Linked DNA regions of Drosophila melanogaster. The protein of the gene in region 2 interacts with the protein of the main gene of each other region in a pairwise test. Each region holds a gene or a part of one and is shown on either strand. Other genes may lie near its edges. The genes, in order: CG8089, Invadolysin, ERp44 and Sr-CIV.

The links.
Region 1: the proteins of Invadolysin (region 2) and CG8089 interact in a two-hybrid assay, tested with the Drosophila melanogaster proteins (one large-scale study listed by BioGRID).
Region 3: the proteins of Invadolysin (region 2) and ERp44 interact in a two-hybrid assay, tested with the Drosophila melanogaster proteins (one large-scale study listed by BioGRID).
Region 4: the proteins of Invadolysin (region 2) and Sr-CIV interact in a two-hybrid assay, tested with the Drosophila melanogaster proteins (one large-scale study listed by BioGRID).

What each region holds. Positions count from the first base shown.
Region 1 is NT_033778.4:15,145,322-15,149,789, forward strand, and holds CG8089 (uncharacterized protein), read right to left. Parts: upstream 2,504-4,468; 5' UTR 2,435-2,503; coding exon 560-2,434; 3' UTR 504-559; downstream 1-503. Other genes in the region: Polr2K (RNA polymerase II, I and III subunit K), read right to left, coding at 62-119; CG7544 (uncharacterized protein), read left to right, coding at 2,645-2,767, 2,829-3,039, 3,091-3,502, 3,563-3,734.
Region 2 is NT_033777.3:10,142,576-10,147,669, reverse strand, and holds the start of Invadolysin (invadolysin), read right to left. Parts: upstream 3,003-5,094; 5' UTR 2,270-3,002; coding exon 2,138-2,269; intron 1-2,137. Other genes in the region: CG42759 (uncharacterized protein), read right to left, coding at 4,316-4,440, 4,496-4,583; TAF1B (TATA box-binding protein-associated factor RNA polymerase I subunit B), read left to right, coding at 3,599-4,026, 4,082-4,202, 4,736-5,094. UniProt on the Drosophila melanogaster protein: Essential for the coordination of mitotic progression, and also plays a role in cell migration.
Region 3 is NC_004354.4:16,293,192-16,299,465, forward strand, and holds ERp44 (endoplasmic reticulum protein 44), read right to left. Parts: upstream 4,470-6,274; 5' UTR 4,451-4,469; intron 4,049-4,450; exon of another isoform or gene 3,892-4,048; intron 3,717-3,891; exon of another isoform or gene 3,600-3,716; coding exon of another isoform or gene 3,585-3,599; exon of another isoform or gene 3,480-3,584; intron 3,397-3,479; exon of another isoform or gene 3,294-3,396; 5' UTR 3,176-3,293; coding exon 3,119-3,175; intron 3,080-3,118; exon of another isoform or gene 2,941-3,079; coding exon 2,856-2,940; intron 2,124-2,855; coding exon 2,032-2,123; intron 1,928-2,031; coding exon 1,534-1,927; intron 1,464-1,533; coding exon 1,197-1,463; intron 1,123-1,196; coding exon 924-1,122; intron 850-923; coding exon 705-849; 3' UTR 662-704; downstream 1-661. Other genes in the region: caz (cabeza), read left to right, coding at 1-4; CG3632 (uncharacterized protein), read left to right, coding at 3,585-3,599, 4,470-4,593, 4,658-5,649, 5,829-6,019, 6,085-6,274.
Region 4 is NT_033779.5:3,521,921-3,525,688, reverse strand, and holds Sr-CIV (scavenger receptor class C, type IV), read left to right. Parts: upstream 1-1,632; 5' UTR 1,633-1,728; coding exon 1,729-1,936; intron 1,937-2,016; coding exon 2,017-2,545; intron 2,546-2,611; coding exon 2,612-3,095; 3' UTR 3,096-3,168; downstream 3,169-3,768. Other genes in the region: CG8852 (uncharacterized protein), read right to left, coding at 1-480; CG8851 (uncharacterized protein), read right to left, coding at 3,317-3,768.

The DNA.
Region 1 (4,468 bases), on a different chromosome or scaffold from region 2:
GCCATGTGCCCGTAATTAAAAAATCGTTTTTCTATCGAAGTATATTCTCTGGCCAACTTACCTCCACAAATATAGGTCATTGCCGTTTTGACATTATCCTTGGAGCTAGTTTCCGACATTTCTAATCAATATTATTCGAATTATAGCGTGTTTTCTGTAAAAATGTGTTTTGTTTTGCCGAAAAGTGTTTTAGAGTGACCGTTGTGGGGTAAACTATAAAATGAACCGTACTCAAATAATACCTTTTTTCCGGGCTTAGTATATTTCGGTAACTTAAATTACGCCAAAACTTTTGAACTTACAAACAAAAAAGTTGTAATTTGTAAGTTTAGCAAAAATTATAAATTACTCATAATTAATTTACAACAAAATTGAGTATTAGCCCATCTTCTAAAAACTGGTATTCCTAGTCAGGAATAAATATATATTTATATTAACATCAGTGCTTACAATAAATTATTTGATCTTGATTTGATGTTCTAATTATTCATCCCAAAAAATATAAGAAAAATATTTTTTTTTTATTTTTATGAAGTTAAACCTTATATTGAAAATTATATTATTTTTTGAACATTTTTGCTTGTGCCATCAAGTTCAGTTTATGTTTCATGGATCTGTAATGTCTTTGCATACTTCCCACAATTGAATTTCCGCAGGTTTCACAGATTTTAATTTTGACACGTTTTTTCGACCTGCAGGGTGTTTTCAAGTGGGTCTGCTTAGTTTTTATGCCCATTTTCTTGTAGTTATGTGTACTTTTATTTGCTGATGTCATACATGTGTTTGTTGACGAACTTGCTTCAATATCAAGCTTTTCATCGGTGGTTCTTGCCCCTTTGCGGCGATTGCTATCTTTTGTTTTGTCATTATTTTTCCCGAACTTTACAAGGTTATCCTTATGGCTTTGAGATTTGCAGTGCCTGCGGTAATTTCCCTTCGATTTAATGGTCAGATCGCAAACTTCACACTGAACGGTGTGAACTAAAAGATGCACTGCTTTTCGGTGGGTTTGCATGGTGCCCTGACTGTAGAAATTCGCTCCGCAGATTTCGCAGGTGAAATTCCTCTTGTTCAAATGAGCTTTGTTCATGTGTTCCTCAAGGAAAAATTTTCTCGTGAACTTCCTATTGCAGATTTTGCAGACTGGAGTGGGTTGCTTCCTGCAGCCTCCCTTTGGAGGTTCTCTCAACGGACGCATTTTATCCCGATATTTTTGCATGGCTCTATTGCATTCCTTAGAGGTATGAGCAGAGCAGCATAGACGAGAGGTTGGTAGTTTGCATATTAGGCAGGGTTTTCTGCGTTCATGGATTCGCAGTACATGTGAATCGAGGGCAGACTTCAGTTGGAATCTCCATGTGCAGTGAGGACACTTAAAGGGGCGATATAGCAGAGTACTGAATGTTCTAACCCTCTGCTGGTGCTTACGTAGGAATTTCCGGGTGAGAAACGACCTGTTGCAAAAGGAACAGTGAAAAGGGAAGTTCGTATATAGCCTTTCCCGTCTATGCTTAACCATATGCAGCTGGTGGCTAAAGGAGAAGCCATAGTTCTGAGCGCAACTTGGACATTTGCTGAGGCTAGAAGTCTTTCGTTTTTGAATTGGATGTTTCGATTCATCCTTAAAGTACGATTGCAGGTCCTCGGCAACTGGCACCAAGATATCCTCTACCTTGTTAAGTGATAGCTCCAGTTCCTTCTCCTCTTGTGACTTCTGATTCTCCAGTAGTCGTTTATATCTCTTGTTTTCGTGAAGTTCCCGCGAGCTTGTGGATTTTCTGATTATGTGTGAGGTTAACGAGTGCTGCAGATAGAATCGCCTGTAGCATATCTGGCAGTGAAAGTTGTCTGAATAGCGATGCGTCTTTTGATGATCCTCCACGTCCTGCAGCTTTTTCCACGGTAGATTCTCACATTTGTAGCAATCGCAGCGCAGTCCTGGTAGGAATAAAGCTGCAATTTTGGGACGCAGAGCTCCATGTGCTTCCTGGCCTGCCAGTTGGCTAACTGAACGTCTGTAGCCGCTGCTCACTGTATCCAGAATGGCAGCTAACTTTTCCAATTGTACTTTGCGGTTCTTCTCTTCGAAGGCATCGAATATTGCTCGAAAATCGTCCTGTAAATCAGCCTTAAAATACTCATTGGTCCAGAAATTATCGCGTAATTGTGCTGTGCGCAGTAATAGCAGCATATCCGAGCTTCGGAAACGCATAATTTTCTGAACGTCTTCGCATAACTCGCTGGAGAAATCCGTTCCAAATATGGTCTCCCCTTCCCCATTGAATGCCACGTACTTCTCCCTGAATCCTCGACAGCACTTGCACTTGCAGTGGCAGGAAGCAGGGCATCCATATGGCTTCTTGTCAATGCTAAGGACTGGCAAATCGGTTGTAAAGTTTTCGTAGGTAACTAGCAGTTTGCCAGGCCAAGACATTAAGTTTACTTTTTTGTTTACAAAAGTTGAATCAACAAGTGGCTGTGTGACCAGTCACTGATAGCACAGAAGGGCCAAATAAAACTACCAATTAGAGGAGCTGGTGTCATCTCTTGCTCGCTGGAGTTGCCGGACTGCTGCAATAAACAGCTGTTCGAATTTCGGCGGCATTTTATTTCATTAACAATTGCGATTTTTTGAAAACGAAATATGGTAAAAACTAAGGGAAACCAAAAGATAGTCGGCATGCATCCACGTAATGTGTTACGCACGCAGCCCGACTATACCAAAATGGCTATAAAATACAAAGATTTTCGGCAGCAGTGCCAGTTGGTAAGTAAAAACTATTTGTTTTGCTTAGACATTGATTTTAATAAAATATTGCTTAATTTAGGAGCTCAATGGCAAGGTTTCTGTGAACTTTCGCAATGAAAAGACCCTTCGTGAGTTGACCAAAATGCTGTTGAAGGAATATTACGATTTAGATGTGGATTTTGCACCCGGAAGTTTGGTGCCCACATTAGCACTACGTTTGAATTACATTTTGTGGTTGGAGGATCTAATGGAACCTCTAAATTTGCAGAACATACGTGGTATAGATATAGGTAAGCTATGGTTAGTATGTCACAACGATTTACTAAGTGAATTCCTCACAGGCTGCGGCTCCTCCTGCATTTATTCACTCCTTGGGGCCAAGAAAAATGGTTGGCACATGTTGGCTTTGGAATCGAAACCGCAAAACATAGAATACGCCAAGGAGAATGTAAAGAGAAATCACATGGAAAGCCTTATAGAAGTCTATGCTCAACCAGACAACACGAACATCTTTAAGAGCTATTTTGAGCAGGATCAGCAACAGTTGCAGTATCAATTTTGCCTGTGCAATCCACCCTTCTTCGACTCGAACTTACCAAATCCCTTAGGCGGCAATACCAGGAATCCAGAGAGACGACCAGCACCCAATAATGCCAGAACTGGAAGCCAGGAGGAACTCACCTGCGTGGGTGGCGAGGTACAGTTTGTGCAACGCATTATAGACGAGAGTCTGGAGAACAAGGAGCGTGTGCGGTGAGTCAATCTTCATTAGCTGCTGAGATTGAATTAACGTTGGTTTTCTCTGCGTTGCAGAATCTTCACCACGATGCTGGGCGTCAAGGCCAACGTTCCAAGAATACTGGATTACCTCAAGGAGCTGCAGGTGGCGAATGTCAGCACCACTGAATTCCATCAGGGACACACGACTCGGTGGGCGGTGGCCTGGAGCTTCCACTCGGAGCCACTACAGCAGGGGACAACATAAAATTAAGTTACCATTAGCTCTGGTAGAGTATCTTTAAGATGGTAGGGGAGAAGTAGTTTAACTTATTTTGGATTTTATAAGATTTATTCAATAATTTCATTTTTATAGGCATCAGTTTTAATGTATAAGTTCTTGGAGAATTGCTGCAACTTTCGAATGTACTGTGACCTTCACCTGTGCTCATCCCAAAAAGCAACTCCAAGGCACCTAGAAAGCTTTCGCCTTAAATGGAAATTTGCATGTCAACGGTCACTTTGCCACCCAGCTCCACGAACGGAAATTATCGTTTCGCTTTTATCATTGACCACAGCTGACCACACACTTCGACGGAAAAAGGCAAACGGAGTCGAAATGGCAACCGAAATGGAGGCAAACACGCTCACTAAGCACAAGTTGCCGCCGCTGGTCAACACACCGACGTTTCCACACCTTTGAGCCGGGGAATTTGGGCGTTTCGCTTGGCCACCATGTGGGATAGCGAATAGCAAATTTTAATTGCTGCACAGGCAGGTTCCTGGTTTGCTAATTATTCGACACGAAAATACCTTTCAATGCAGGGAGAGTATATTAAAAGGGAAATCAATGGCTCTTACAGATAGATAGATACTAAGTTGAAAGTGTAATATAATAAAATTGTATACATTCTTAGTCAGTAATTATACTGAAATCTTTAAAGGGTATCCGCACTTTCATCTCCTGCCTAGATTTCCCTTGCCATTTGAGCCTTTTTACAA
Region 2 (5,094 bases):
CATTCGTGTTTATAGTTACCTAGGGAGTTTCATTAATATAGAAACATGTGTAACTTCGTCATATCAAATCAGCACCTGTTTTGATTGTACTGGAAAATGTTAGCATCACGCTTTGATTAAGTTCTTTTCAGTTTAGCTCGTGAATCAAAAAGCTTTTCATCCTGAATGGAGATTCCCTGCAGCTCAGTTTGCTAAGCCAAAAGATAATTTAATTTAATGGCAGTTTTTCTGAAGTTAAGTGTGCGTTTATCGTATTAGAAGGTCAATACAGTCCGCGACATCGCTGACAGGCGCGCACGCACGCTGGCAACGTGACAAATGGTTTAATTTGGCGAATTTTACACATTGCTGCAGTTGTTCTCGCAATTGCTGACAGCCGCGTTCTTCAATTTATATAACACTAATTAGAATCGAGTACTTCGGTTTCAGCTGGACCGCTATTTAATTGAATGGATGTTCCATACGGATGTGAACATATATGTATGTACCATTGGTTCGTTCGCCATACATATATTTATGTCTTTATCCTCCTCTACAAACACTGCTCCTGTCAGGATGATTTTCAGTGGCCAGACAGCAGGACATTCCGTGCGCAGAGAGACACATAATCTGGACGACGGTTTTTTGCATTTACAACAGTTTAAGTTACAGATAATTCAATTAATTACACGCTGGGCGACCTCGACAGCATCGTTAGCCATCAACAGACAGTCGCTGAATTAATTCATTTCCCTGCCATTCCAATTCACTTTTACTGGCTTGAAAACAAAGTAGTTACTCGCTAATTAAAACTTTAGCGTTTGCACAGATTTTTCATACATATATTGTGTTTTATATTGTTAACGAATGAAAAAGTTCTGTGTCCCCTGGTGAGTTTGAAAATAGGATGCATCCTGCCAATGTTTGCAAAAAGCTTATGTATCTTTTGTGCAAACTACACTATAGTTGCTTTTAGCTGCCACACCATATACAGCTGTGTATTAATTTCGTTCTCCACAAGTGCATATATTTGAAAAGTTATAAAACACCTGGGAAATGCATATTTCCGAGAACATTTTATGTTCGATTATACTGCAGTTGCAACCACGGAGGACAGACTGTACCCGCCTCGATACAGTAATCATGTAAATTTCCCCTTTTTGCGCAATTGAAGGCGACCTTTATTTATGGCGACGCGCCAATTAAATCGCCGTTGATTGGAAAGCAGTAAAGTGCAGGCGAAAAACTTCCAAAGACACAAAAACAAAAGCCCGACGGAATGCAGATCCCGAGCAACAAGTTGGCGGGCAGCGTCTGACATTAAACCCTAACTAGATCACTGGATGTGGATGTCGATGTGGTGCAGATGGAGGCGGTTTGGTAACCACGATGGTGGGTTACACGTTATGAGCTACCTGTTAATATGCAGCCCCACCACCTGACTGACAAACTAAACCACATTGCATTGACTGACTGACTGAATCTCGAATGCGCATATTATTAGCCAGCGGAATTAGTCAATAAGCTGTGGTTGCCACCAACCATCGCTAGATGTTTATTGTTTCAGTTTTTTGCCGCTGTTTCTATGGCAGAATTATGAGAATGGCAATTTCAGGGCTCCTCTTAAATCGGCACTAATTAGGCCTGCCTTTTTCATGCCAAAGCCCAATCAATTATAAATTTTCGACGAGCACAGTTTGCACCAATTATGAAATTTCTCTAATGAGCACGAAGGACAATCTGCCCAAATGGCCGAAGCAGAAACAAACAAGAAACTCGAGCATTGAAATTTCCGAAGTTGCGATTTTCCAGCTGATTTAAACTTTAAGGACTCTTTCTTTTGAAATTACCAAACCATCTTCATACCTTATACTATCTTGTAATCTAGCTATCTAGCATGAAAAATCTTAGCTAGTTGCAAGACTAAAAAAAAAAAGACTAATATTAATGTAGTTGGGATTGTAAATATTTGGCACACGTGTGCGGGTGAGCACTTAAAGATTCCGTGTTCCCAAAATAGCCCTTTCCCGGATATTATTTGTTTTATTTGCAAGAAAGGGCGGAGTAAGAGAAGAAGGCCAATTCAACCCAATACCATAGAGTCCAATCCAATTCAATCCAATCCCTTCATTTTTGGAGCCAAACGAACGCAACTCACCTCGTGGGCCTTTGGATGCTGGTGTTGGCAGTTGTGAGCGGTGGCCGAAACGAGGAGCCAAGAGCAGATGCCGAGGGCTGCCAGGAATTTGGCCATGTTACCGTGGGGGCGGAGCGGGGGCGTTTTGGCCATGGTGTTTTACTTCGGGGTGGAATATCGCCGTGGATATTATAGAGTACTCAGCATTGTAGCGGTGATCCTTTTCATTGTCAGGATTAGTGTGATTTTTGTTTAATTATCACTTGACTTCGAACACCCATATCTGCACTTAAAATTCTTTGTTTATTTTCCTCTTTGGTTTGCTTATGTTTGCTGCTTTTCCGCCGTTTGCTTTGTCAATTAACTCGCGAAAACCGGCTCGATTCGAATCCCTTTCCTCTCACTCGCACACATAAACAACTCGCACACACACGTACATACGCACACACAGAGACACTCAATTATTGGGGCCTTTGGACTACTTTTTGTTTTTGTTTTCGGGTGGGTGTGTCCCAATCTCAGCCCACGCCAAAAAAATGTGCATAAAACTACAGCAAACTACAAACTGCAGTTAGCCGCAAAAGGAGGAACAAACTCGCACTTAAATGTCAAATTCTCATGAACTGTCCGTGCAGCGAGAGCATTCTGTAGGACTCACTGCCATACCCGACACAGTGGGCACTCAATAAGCGCATTCGTCGAGCCTTTTCATTCAGCAAAACCATAAAAACACTCGCGCGAAAAGGGGGCGTTTGGGTACCGGCGGGGGTGGTTGGCACGAACAACAAACTTAGAGAGACGCGAGTCGAATCGTCCGACAACGACGTTAACGTTCGCCAGCCGATTTTGTTTTGAATCGAGTCTCTATACATATGCATAAGTACATGGACACAAGGACAGAGTGGCCATTCAACGAAAACGAAAAACGCGTTCTTATGCTTTTCCGAATCTGGTAACACCTCTTATTAGCGCTAAAAAATTACGTTGCCTATCGATATTTCGAATCGACTTTTTTAAAAATCAAGCGTCAAGACATGGATAATTCAATTCTTACTGCTTATGGTCACACCAAAAAGATAACAGAAATGTTACGAGAGATTAGAGTTCAGTGATGGCTAACGTACAAGTGCATCTAACAGGTTGGCATAAAAAACAATAAAAAATACCCTTTACGCTTATTAGATTTTAATATATACTTTCAAAAAAAAACCGCTCTCTAAATTTTATATAAAAATAAAATTTTATTAAAATACCATGACTAAAAATATGTTACTTTGAACCAACTTTTATTTGCCGCCTTAATCTAGTGATGTACGTTTTCATAGAAGAAACGGACGATATATCGAATCAATCGAAGAACGGATGATATCGTTGTAAACATAGATCATTCCCCACCACTATCACATGCACGATTTGTGTACAACCGCGAGTTTGATTAATAATATAATTTAAATCTGATACCGTCAAGAGAAAGTCCCAAAAATGGAGGAAGTTCTCGAGACGATGCAGCTGGAGAACATGCACTGCGATGTGTGCGAGGGTACCACCTTCCAGGAGCGCGAGGGATTCTACTACTGCGTAGAGTGTGGCACACAGAAGGATCAGATTCGTGCAGTGGACATTACCGCCGAGGATAACTTTGATGACACGGCAGCAGGCCGATATACAGCCAGGACGATCCGACAGAAGAAGGATACGGAGAAGGAGGATGAGGACGATATCACCTCGTGGGAATTCTACAACTACGTGCTGCGCGGCTTCCTCCAGGAGCTGCTCAACATGGGCGCCAAGCCGGAGCTCAAACTGATGACCCTGCAAGTGTGGGCGGCTTACTTGGACAGCATGGAGGTGGCCTTCAGCAAGAGCAACAAGACGGGACTGCCTAAACTGAATGTGCGGGCGCTGCCCATGTGGGTTCTTGCATTCTCCTAAAATTTCTTATTTTTAAATTCCGAATTCTTTCAGAGATGCCCGCATCATCTACAACCATAAGACATTCAAGAAAGGCAAAAAGGGCAAGAAGAGCACTCTAACGGGTGACCCAAATGACGAGCGCGCCAAGTTCAGATTGTGGAACAGAACTAAGGTAGTTTATTAGCCGCTGGTAGTCGGTATAAAGGGCAAGAAGAGCACTCTAACGGGTGACCCAAATGACGAGCGCGCCAAGTTCAGATTGTGGAACAGAACTAAGGTAGTTTATTAGCCGCTGGTAGTCGGTATATAGAATTGGTTAGGAAACAGCAGGGGCAGCAGCAGGAAAAGGGTCCGTTGGTAGTCATTATACATGGGTTTTGCTGTATTTATCTCCTGTACTGGATTAGAATCTGTGGCGAATATGTTGGATGAACAATAAGCGTTAGGATTAGTTTATCTAATTACTTTCAGTGACTTCTGGAGCTCCGGGAACAGGTTGTCCGTAGGCCAATGCCAGGATGGCCACGCCAATTAGAACCAGACGCATGGACATATTTGCAACGACACACTTTACCAAATTGCTGCTGACTTGAACACGTTCGTCTTTTATAGCTCCACAAGCTATATAAATGACATAGTTAGCCTATTCATTAGTGATGTTTACTCAGATGCGACTGTAACACCTTGATCCCATTCCTTTTGCAGCGCAATCTAGACGCCTCCGGCTACCGCTCGCACGGAGGAGCTTCAGAGTCCGAAGGGGAGCAGAGTCTCCACCTGCAATGGTCAATGCGTGCACGCAAGTCCTTGAAGCGCCATATGCCGCTGAAGCACCTGGACAAGCATAGCCGCGACAGCAAGGGTAGTATGTCGTGCCACAGCTTGAGACCGAGGGTCAAGCAGCTCCACAATTTTGATCGTAACATCTACTGCCTGAATATTATCAAGTTGTATGTGGTGCTGGGCATAGCCCTTAATATGGTGGAGGATGATATACAGCTATCGGACTTGCTGCGCTTCATTGATGAGGAGCACTTGACCAAGCGGTGCATGCTTAACTATCT
Region 3 (6,274 bases), on a different chromosome or scaffold from region 2:
TTAAGCGCATGGTAGCCAGCCGAACGCGGCACCTATTTTTTTCACTTTTACTTATTAATTGTAGCGAGAGTACGCTTTTAAATGTACTTTTAAAATTAACAGTCAGAGCAACTTTTAAATGATAATTGCCAGCACACGACTTCATTTGAACCGATTTTTATCCCAACACACACACGGTTATCGCTCGTTTTGACTGAATTATATTATATAATTATGTAATCTAATTTAACAACTGTAACTGTAACATGGTACATACGAATAAACATATATATATGTATACATATATAGCTCATATATATGTGTATATATATATATATATAGAGAAAATCAAAATCACTGCTTTGAATTCGGAAGTTGACATCATTCATTTCCAGCTTAGCTGACTAAGAAGGGGATTCCAAAGAATTCAATAAGTTCGCCTCGCCGAAATCTCCAGCGTAATTTTTAACAACAAAACGAGGAAAACTTGAAAAGTGACGCGTGCAATTTGTGGATAATTCAGCAACTGTTTCTTTTTGCAATAACAAAGGTGGTTAAATCCAGACTTTTTATTTTTAGAATTGCATTGAAGAGAATTGAGGCTGCTGCGCCCGCTATTTGCATGGATAACCGCTCACCTGCTGATCTGCTTTCAGAGAAGGTTGCTCATTATTACATTTTTGTATTATTTTCTTTTATTTTCAATATACATTATTATTATTATATTACAGTTCATCTTTTTCTAGCAGGGTGTAGCGATGCTTGGATGGGCCAAGTTCCTTGAATTTGGACTCTGGTGGCGATGTACCCTTGCCAGTGTGTGGGTCAGGTTCAATATCATTTGAGGGATCCGGCCCGTAATGAAATTCCCTGGAAAGCAAAGCAGCAGACCGTTTAGTAATTGAGCCCCATGGTGTTAGCAAAGGCGGCTGTATAACAATTACCTGTGCAGCTTGCCACTGTAGAGATCCTGAAGGAACTGCTTCAGCTTACCCGGCGAGTACATGTCACTGAAGTGGGGGAACAGATACATGTGCTTGAACGAGTCGATGGCAATCAAGGGCAAGTCATCCTCGGATTTACCCAGATGGTGCAGAGGATGCGCGAATCGCTTGCCATCGGCGGTCAAAAAGTTGACGTTCTCTGCAAAATTTCGAAAATACAATGTCAAACCAAATGCTTATATGCAAAGTAAACAACACGATGATTCATCTTACGTTTCTCATCCAGCAATTGACGCTCAATGATCGACTTGTAATCCTTGATAGAATTATGATCGGTTGGGTGGTGGAAGAGAATTAGGAACGGCAGACCCTCCTCCGTAAGTTCCTCTGCATTCTCAAATGTTATTTCCCGCACCAGGGGTACACACTTCTCTTGGACCCAAATTTTGAGCTCATCGAAATTTTGTAGGCTGCCAGTGTAGGTCTCATCGTTCTCATGAGACAGAGCTACATCAGGTCTAAATACTATGATAGGTGTACCTGTAATAGACCAAAAAAGCTGACATTCAGTATTGGCTTGGCATGACTTGGTGCGTTTGATAGAATTCACCTGGTGGATGCATGGCCTGGGCGGCATCTCCGAAGCCCACGTGGAACTGGCAGTCTTCCTTCAGATTTGTCGCCACCTTGCGGAATATGTCGTACTCTGGCTGGTCCCTACGATCGAAGTAGCCCAGAATGAGGCGCTTCTTCGAGTCCAGGTTCTCCAGATCCTTCAGGGATTTGAACTCCTGAATGGGATCCTCCAGCTGCTTCTTGACGAACTCGAGGAACGCTTCGGCTGAACGCTGTCCTCGGTATTCGCGCTTGCTGAGCTGCCCATTGCGTACAATTTTCAATGTTGGATACTTGTTTATGTGGAAACGGGACGCGATGGCCGTTTCCTTGTCGCAATCGACCTTGCCTAGCACCACTTTTCCAGCCTCTGGAAACTCCTCTTTAATCTGTAAGAGAAATTCGATTGAATGCCACGTATTTATTCGATATAAAATGTATATGAATGTATCGCATTGTTTGTAAGCTTTTACTGGCGATCCATTTGACTCACCTTATCTGCAGCTTCCGCGAATATAGGTGCTAAAATATTACTAAACCGACACCACTCCGCATAAAAATTAAGGAAAACCAATTCATTAGACGCTGCAAGAAAACAAAACGTGTTTTTAATGTAGGCACCAAATTGTGTGTAAAATTGTTGATGCGTAGAATACAACTCCGTTCAGATACTAAATATAATAACTTTTAAAAACATATATTTGGTAATATATTTATATCAATATTGAATTACGGGTTTATGTATTAATAATTTAAATGCATATGTATTTTTATGGAATATATTTAAATTTGTCGCTGAATATACATATTAAAGTCAAGAAATTTCTAGCATCCTACTATTCCATAACTTCCGAAAGTTAAAATTTAAGGGGTGCAAGCCTAAGGCCAGGCTTTACTGTAAAAGTTAACGTTTGGATAATAAAAAAAAATAACTTTAAAAAAACAATATAGTATTACCGCAGGATTGTGTACAGGACACACCGTATAAAAAGGACCTATTCATGCAAAGACCAAACTTCGGACATTCTGAGCAAAGAACTGCCGACCAATGGCTAGTGCCCATTTTGGCGGACTATCGGACCGATGCAGCATGAAATATAAACCGCCCTAATTAAGTTTTATCCAAATTCCACACCTTGTCCTTTACGAAAGCGCATAAAACTTATTTTACCACGTTGGCAGTGCCGAATTGAGCGAGCCAGTGATTTTGTTTAGTGACACGTCAATGGGACAAGTCGGCTAATTGATTCCCGCTCACGCTGGCAGCGGGAATGGCATGGGGATGACTGTGATGGTTATGGTATGGGCATATCTCACCTAGGGTCATATCGATATTATCACTGGTCATGGGCACGGCTCCGGCGGCATCGGCCGGCTGTGTGTACTGGAGTAGCTGTAGAATCTGTAAATTCCATAGGATGTCAGTTCTGGTTAGTTAGTTATTTGGTTAGGGGGAGCCAAAAAAAAGCCGGGGCTGTCTGGCCGGCCCCTCCCCACTGTTTCCCCGCCCGCTGATCGAGCGGGTGAGCCACTCCAGTGACCAGCAACATGACCAGACAGAACGGAACACGTCGACTCACCGCAACTAGGGCCACACACGGCCCAAGCTTTCCGATTCCGATTCTGGCTCCAAACATTCTTGTTCGGCTTCCGAATGGCGAATGCGGCTGGCGAGGAGTGGGCGTAGAATTGCGTGCACCGGCGGAGAGTCCAAGCGATCGGTTCTCTTTTTTTCTGATTTCAGTTACACATCAGCTGGAATGGAATGCAAACGTACGCACAATTATTAAGTTTTACAAATTTTTGGTTGATTTTATCGGCTGGCCAGTGTTGGTTAGTCTCGAATGCACATCTCATCGGCAATCGAGTAACGATAGCTTAGTCACATGACTTGGCCATCGCTAACAGCAGCGATAACAGCGATAGCAGCAAACAACGATAGCAATTTCAATGGAAATGAAACAAAAAGTGTCTAAATGAATACATATGCATACATATGTATGTGCAACAACATTTGCAAATCTTTGTTTATAATAGCTGACGCTTATGGATTTTATGGTGGTAAATAGAGCGAGAAAATCTAGAAGCCAAGCGCGTTTTCAATTCGGCAATACGTTTTGAGCTAAATACCCCGAAAAGTCTGCTGAGCGAACGGTTTGTGGAATCCAAAAACCAAATGTGTGTGCATACATATGTACGATTGTAATGTGTTATTGTTGCTCCCCGAAATATCGAAACACAAACATACCTACATAGACAAATATACATATGAGTTTATGCAAACATACACATGCGTAAATGTTTAATTACTTTGTTTATGACAACATACACGGCCATTAGAATACGTTGAGTACGATAATCGGCCATTTTTCGCCTATTGGCTATGAAATCGTGATAATCTAGTCTATTGGTATATATGTGCGTGCGTATGTAATGCAGCGACACACAAATATGTGCATACTATATATTGCGCACCTTGTGGAACTGCAACTGTGTGTGCTCACATAAATGTATGTTCATTGTACATTGTACATCCATACGTGCATATATATGCAGTGCATTATCTATATTGCCACCACGACACTCAAAAACTCAAATATTAACTTCGATTTGTTCTAAAAGTGTTGATTGTGCCCAATTTATCATCCCAGTGACATTTATTTGGCTTTGTTTGTGCACTGCTTAATGCACATGCACATATGTGCATAGTATTATTTATTTATTTATGGGAGCCACTATACTATACGTATCGAATCGTCCCAATAACATCGCACACACACTGTTGTGCGTAATTATGTATTCGGATGGTGGATATAAGAGATATATGCACTTATAAGCGATAACCGGATTTCCAATGACACCCAAATCGCCTTGCCTAAATATAAGCAAATAAGTAATTTCGAATACGTTACATGTTAAGTATTCTTTTAGCCGATTCACACAATGTCCGATGGATCACCGCCTCCATCGATTTGCTTTATCCGTGCCGCCGAATCGTATCCAAAGTCACAAATGGAGAAGGAAGACTCCCAGCTGTTCGTCCCGTTTCAAGAGTGTAGGTGTTCCCCCATATGCTGTAACCGATAACACATGCTAATCTATAGTATATATACCACTAGTGGCCGGCGAATCGATTAAGTACCTGGGGCGCACGGATGATGGTATCCTCGCCCTGTCCAATTATCGGATATTCCTTTCCAAGCAGTCAACCGGCTACGAGACCTACGTTCCATTGGGATTAATCGAATCCGTACAGGTGCGAGATCTGTTCCAGCTGATTGTCAATTGTAAGGATGCCAGCACTGTGCGCTGCTCCTTTCCGTCGGCGGAACAGTGCTCCGACTGGCAGCGCCGGATCCATCTGATGATCGGGGTTCCCGAGTCACTGGAGACACTCTTCGCCTTTCCCTTCTACTCCTGGACCTGCGATGTGCTCGGAAGTGGCAATGGAAGCGGTATCGTTAGCGCCCAGGCCAACGGAAACGGCCTGATTGCCAAGGATCGTTGCCTAACGCTACACAATGGCTTGGCAAAGCCAACAGCCAACGTCACAGCGTCGAATCCTCTGCCCGATCCTGCCAGCGAGACCATCTCAGCCGCCATGAGCAATCGCCTGCAACGATCAGTGCGCTATGAAAGCGACTTTAAGAACGAGGTTGCCCGCTTGGGATTCGATCTGAAGGGCTCGTGGCGCATCTCCACGGCCAATGCCGATTTTAAGCTCTGTCCCTCGTATCCACCCAAATTGCTTGTGCCCTGCTGTATCACCGATGAGATGCTCCACAACGTGGCCAACTTCCGGGGATCACGAAGGCTGCCGGCTGTCGTCTGGCGGCACCAAAAGTCGGGTGCCATCTTGGCCCGATGCAGCCAGCCGGAGGTCGGTTGGCTCGGCTGGCGCAACACAAGGGACGAGCAGCTACTCAAGGCACTCGCCGATGCCTGTGCCTTTGACAGGGGCGAGCACGCCAGGCATTCCACCTGCGCCAATGCAAAGGCGCAACCAACAAAGGGCTCCAAGGAGACCAACGGCCAGTCGGGCTTATCCGGCAAGAGTTCACCATCTCTGGACGATTCCTCGCATGAGGAACTCACGCTGGATGAAATCAAGGTAAGTTTATTACCAAAATAGCCGGGTATTCTTGAAATGAAGGTTTCAGTTACCATATAAGAAAACATTCATGAATAATTATCATAAATTACTTAACACGGAGCAGTAAAATGATGTCAAAACCGCCAAGTGCTAATGAAATAATTTGATCATTGCTCTTAAATTGTATTTGCTTTCAGAAAATCCTCATTGTGGATGCTCGCAGCTACACCTCCGCAGTTACAAATCGTGCCAGAGGTGGCGGCTGTGAGTGCATCGAGTACTATCCCTGTGCAGAGATTGAGTTTATGAACTTGGGCAACATCCACGCCATTCGAAAGAGTTTCCACGCTGTCCGACAGCTATGCGCGTCATCCCCCGATGATCCAAAGTAAGTTTACTAGCTGATTATTAAAGATATATATATATTTATGTAATGGAATCATATTCTTGCAGCTGGTACGGACAACTGGAAAAGACCATGTGGATGCAGCACCTGTCGGGTCTGCTGGGAGCCACCATGACCGTTGTGCACACCATCGAGAAGAATGGACGACCCGTCCTTGTACATTGCTCAGACGGTTGGGATCGCACTCCACAGATCGTGGCCACGGCGCAATTATGTTTGGATCCCTACTACAGAACG
Region 4 (3,768 bases), on a different chromosome or scaffold from region 2:
ACCCAGCTCGTTGTATCTGAAAGATACTGCGGTCAGGTTGGGGATCAGAGCTCCTCCACAGCTCAGTTTCAGGGTGGCATCGCCCACAAAACGTTGGATCTCGACACTTTCCAGATCCACACAATTGTCCAGGTACTCCAAGCCATAGCTCGAGATTCCCAAGGGTGGTGTCTGAAAGCCATCCAGCGAAACGTGCCTCTTTCCGGCCACTCTTTGGGCGCCCAAATCGAAGTAATTCATCCCCATGCTACTGTTCTCACTGCAATCTATTGCCAGAGGCAGCCCAAAATCGTTTTGACTCCTTTCCGACGAAGATGTCTTATAGAGCGTTGCCCGAATGACGCAAGCCGGTGGCAACGATATTGATTCGTTGGCGGAAGACATCGCATCGCCAGCTGCCCGCACGTGTGACAAAATCTGCGATACGACAACGAGGAAGACGCACTGCGTCATCGCCACCGAAAAATGCGAGCTGCCCATCGAAGCGTGTCACCGAGAGACCGCTAAACTATCAAGCTCATCCGTGTCCGACCACCTCGTGTGCGAAAATCAAACTGAGGCTAGTACAAATCGCCGAGCGACCCTCACATTGGAAAATTCATACGGAAAAGCCGAAACACCTTTGGCTTCATTTCAATATGATGCTCCCCGCTGGCCATCACCGACCATTTGCTACCCTCTGCTCCCAACTGGAGAGGTATGCTGCGTTCTTCTAGCTTTTGGCTGAGCTTGATAGGTTAGGAAAATCATATCAAAAGATGAAACGAGATGAAACTCATGTGCATCATTAAGTATTTTGAATGCACTTAGATTTCAGAGATAGATATAGTAAAAATATATCAGTGTATATATTTGAATAATTTATTAAAAATCCTATTGGAGGTACTATTTGTGCGCCAACTGGACCTGCGCAATTCAAGTTGTTTTAATATTAAAAATTATTTCTGAGAGTATCTTTGTTTATATTTAGACTGTTCTCTGTTTCTCCGCAGAAGAATGCTTCCTATTCTCTGCGCAGTGCACATTTCTTTCTTTCTCTATTTTTTTCAGCTGTCATCAGCCCCAATTTCCCGCCCCCCTTAATTCCACAGTCGCCCCAAAAAAAAAAAAAAAACACCCGATTTCAAACACTTTTCGCACAGAATCACACTCCAAAGTGGGTGAGGCAAATGTTTACATATTCATCCTTATATACAGCAAACGATCGATGGAAAAATCATAGGCAAGTGAGTTTCCAAGAACCGCATTGTTTACATTGATATTTTAATTGGCCATTGTTGGCTGCTTATTTTGGCTTGGAATGAGATCACAAAATTCCAAATTGGCCACAAATGTATTTAGTAGAAAATAAGAGAAAAAGTCACCAACGATGCAAACATTACTATTAAAGCACCATAGCCATTAAAAATCAGTCCGCTTAGAACAGAACCTTCCATATTCGTCCAAACTCGCAAAGCATATAGATTTCAATAGTTAGAACTTTTTGGCACTTACAAACGCTGTTGAGCTGCGTCGTTACTCATTATTCTAGATAAAAACAATAAATTTAAAGATTGTACAAGACCTGATAAGGCACAAATGAACTCATCTCGTATGAACACACTCAGCATGTACTTTTTATTTAATAGAAATGGAATGCAGATCCCCACTTAACTCAGTCGTTGTTTTCCGTCGAAGCCTAAGAAAGCACGGATTTGACAGAAGTATAGAGTATTACTTCTTGAAGCTATGATATTGCTCTGGGCGATCGTTCTTATATCGAGTGTGGATCGAACAAATGCTCGATGTCTAGAATCTGTGCACTTGGAACACGGTTCGACGGAAATAGTAAATGGATCCATTATTTTTCATTGCGATCAAGGATACTTTCTACAAGGATCGAAAGTGTTCACCTGCGATCGCGGTATTCCTCGAGGGAAAAAACCATTTTGCGCCAGTAGGTGTACAAAATAAGAAAACAATTTTAATTATAAATTAAAGTAAGTAAAAGCTAACATAATTTTTAACAACTTTCAGAAAGCGGTTGCCAGGAATACGAACAAATACAGAACGGATTTGTTTTAAATGCTCCTATGAAAGCTAAAATCATATGTTCGGATGGCCATGGGTTGGTTGGAAATCGCATTGCCTATTGCGATGGCGAGAAGTGGAGCACCCAGTTGGGATCCTGCGCATTAAGACGCCAGACGATCGATGTTTCCTGTGATTTCGAGAGCGAGGATATGTGCGGCTGGACGGCGGAATTGAGCTTCTTGGGAACTTGGAAACGGGTCAGTACGGTGGCCGACTTTCACTCTGAGAAAACGGGTCCCCAAAAAGATCACACGTTCCAAAACCAATCCATCGGACACTACGTGCGCATGGAGACGGAAAGCGATGCTTTTGGAACCTACCACTTCCTATCGCCACTGTATCCCAAGGAGCTCAGTTTGAGTGGCGCCTGCTTCCAGTTTCACTACTTCATGTTCGGCAGCGGAGTGGGTAGCCTGCTGGTGTCCATAAAACCCGTTTCGGTGACTATAGGAGACATATTTAAAACAAACCAGTGAGTTGCTTACTAATTATCTTATCTAGAATTAAGTTTGCCTTATACAGCAATATGATTTTTTAGTCCCTACAAGTTCGACCAATTCGTGATGACTGGATCACAAGGTGCCAGGTGGCTGGAGCACACGATCGATATCAATAAGATGGATGAGGACTTCCAAGTGATCTTTACCGCCACGGATGCGAGGTCCCAATACGGAGATATTGCCATCGACGACGTGAAGCTGATGGCAGCTAAGGAATGTGCCAGGAGGTCTACCTTCATCGAGGAACCAAAAAAACCAATAGAAGAATCGGATATCACGGATTCACTGGGCTACCAAATGACCGACTGCTCTGGTCGTTGTGGTCAGGACTTTGTTCGGGGAAGGTACATCAATGAAGGGTGTCGATGCCAAGAATCATGTCTGGTGAACGGCAATTGTTGCCTAAATTATGTCAAGGAGTGCCATAAAGATCTGGTCATAGCTCCGTATAATGAACTCAAATTCTGGAGGCTTTGGAATCTTTGGAGCGGTGATAGTAATGTGACTGTCGTACCTAAATAAGTTCCTATCCCAATACATTTAACCGAATCATTAAAAGTACTTTTAAAAATGAGTTTACATAATCATTAGAGTGAAATAATTGGTGGCTTAATAAGGGCTGATAATGTCCAGGCAACTTGATGGCATAGTCCAAGTGCTGGGAGCAGTACCTTCAAGTTGCCTGGACAGCTGATGAGCCCAATCTAGTGCCTAGGTCTAGGCAGTCCAGTCCAGATCCCCGTTTAGATCGTCGCCTTCAGAGTTCGGGGGGCTGCAAATCGACCGTTGCTGGTTCCCTGGGGCAGCTGATTGATCCTGATCAGACTGGGTCGATGGGAACCACCTGATGTCAAGTGGGCAATGCCAGCCGACCCACTGCCAACGATGCCCGTGCCACCCTGATTCGTCATGGAGTAGATGTGCCGCCGGAGAACCCTTATGTGTTTCTGCGAGACCTCGAAGTTGTGGACCAGGGTGTGGAGTTGCGTCTGGAGCTCAGCTATCAGACTATCCCGTTCCTGGATCAAACTGGACGTCGAGTTTTGGCTCCTACTCAGCTTCAGTTCGAGGTCGTAGATCTTCTTCTGCAGATCCCTGCGCTGCTTTTCGCTCTGCTCGCGATGGCGGGAAAGTTGCCTTTTGCTGCTCGCCTGGAGCTGCTCCAGCTGATCCTTCATGGTGGACAGCTCCTGGG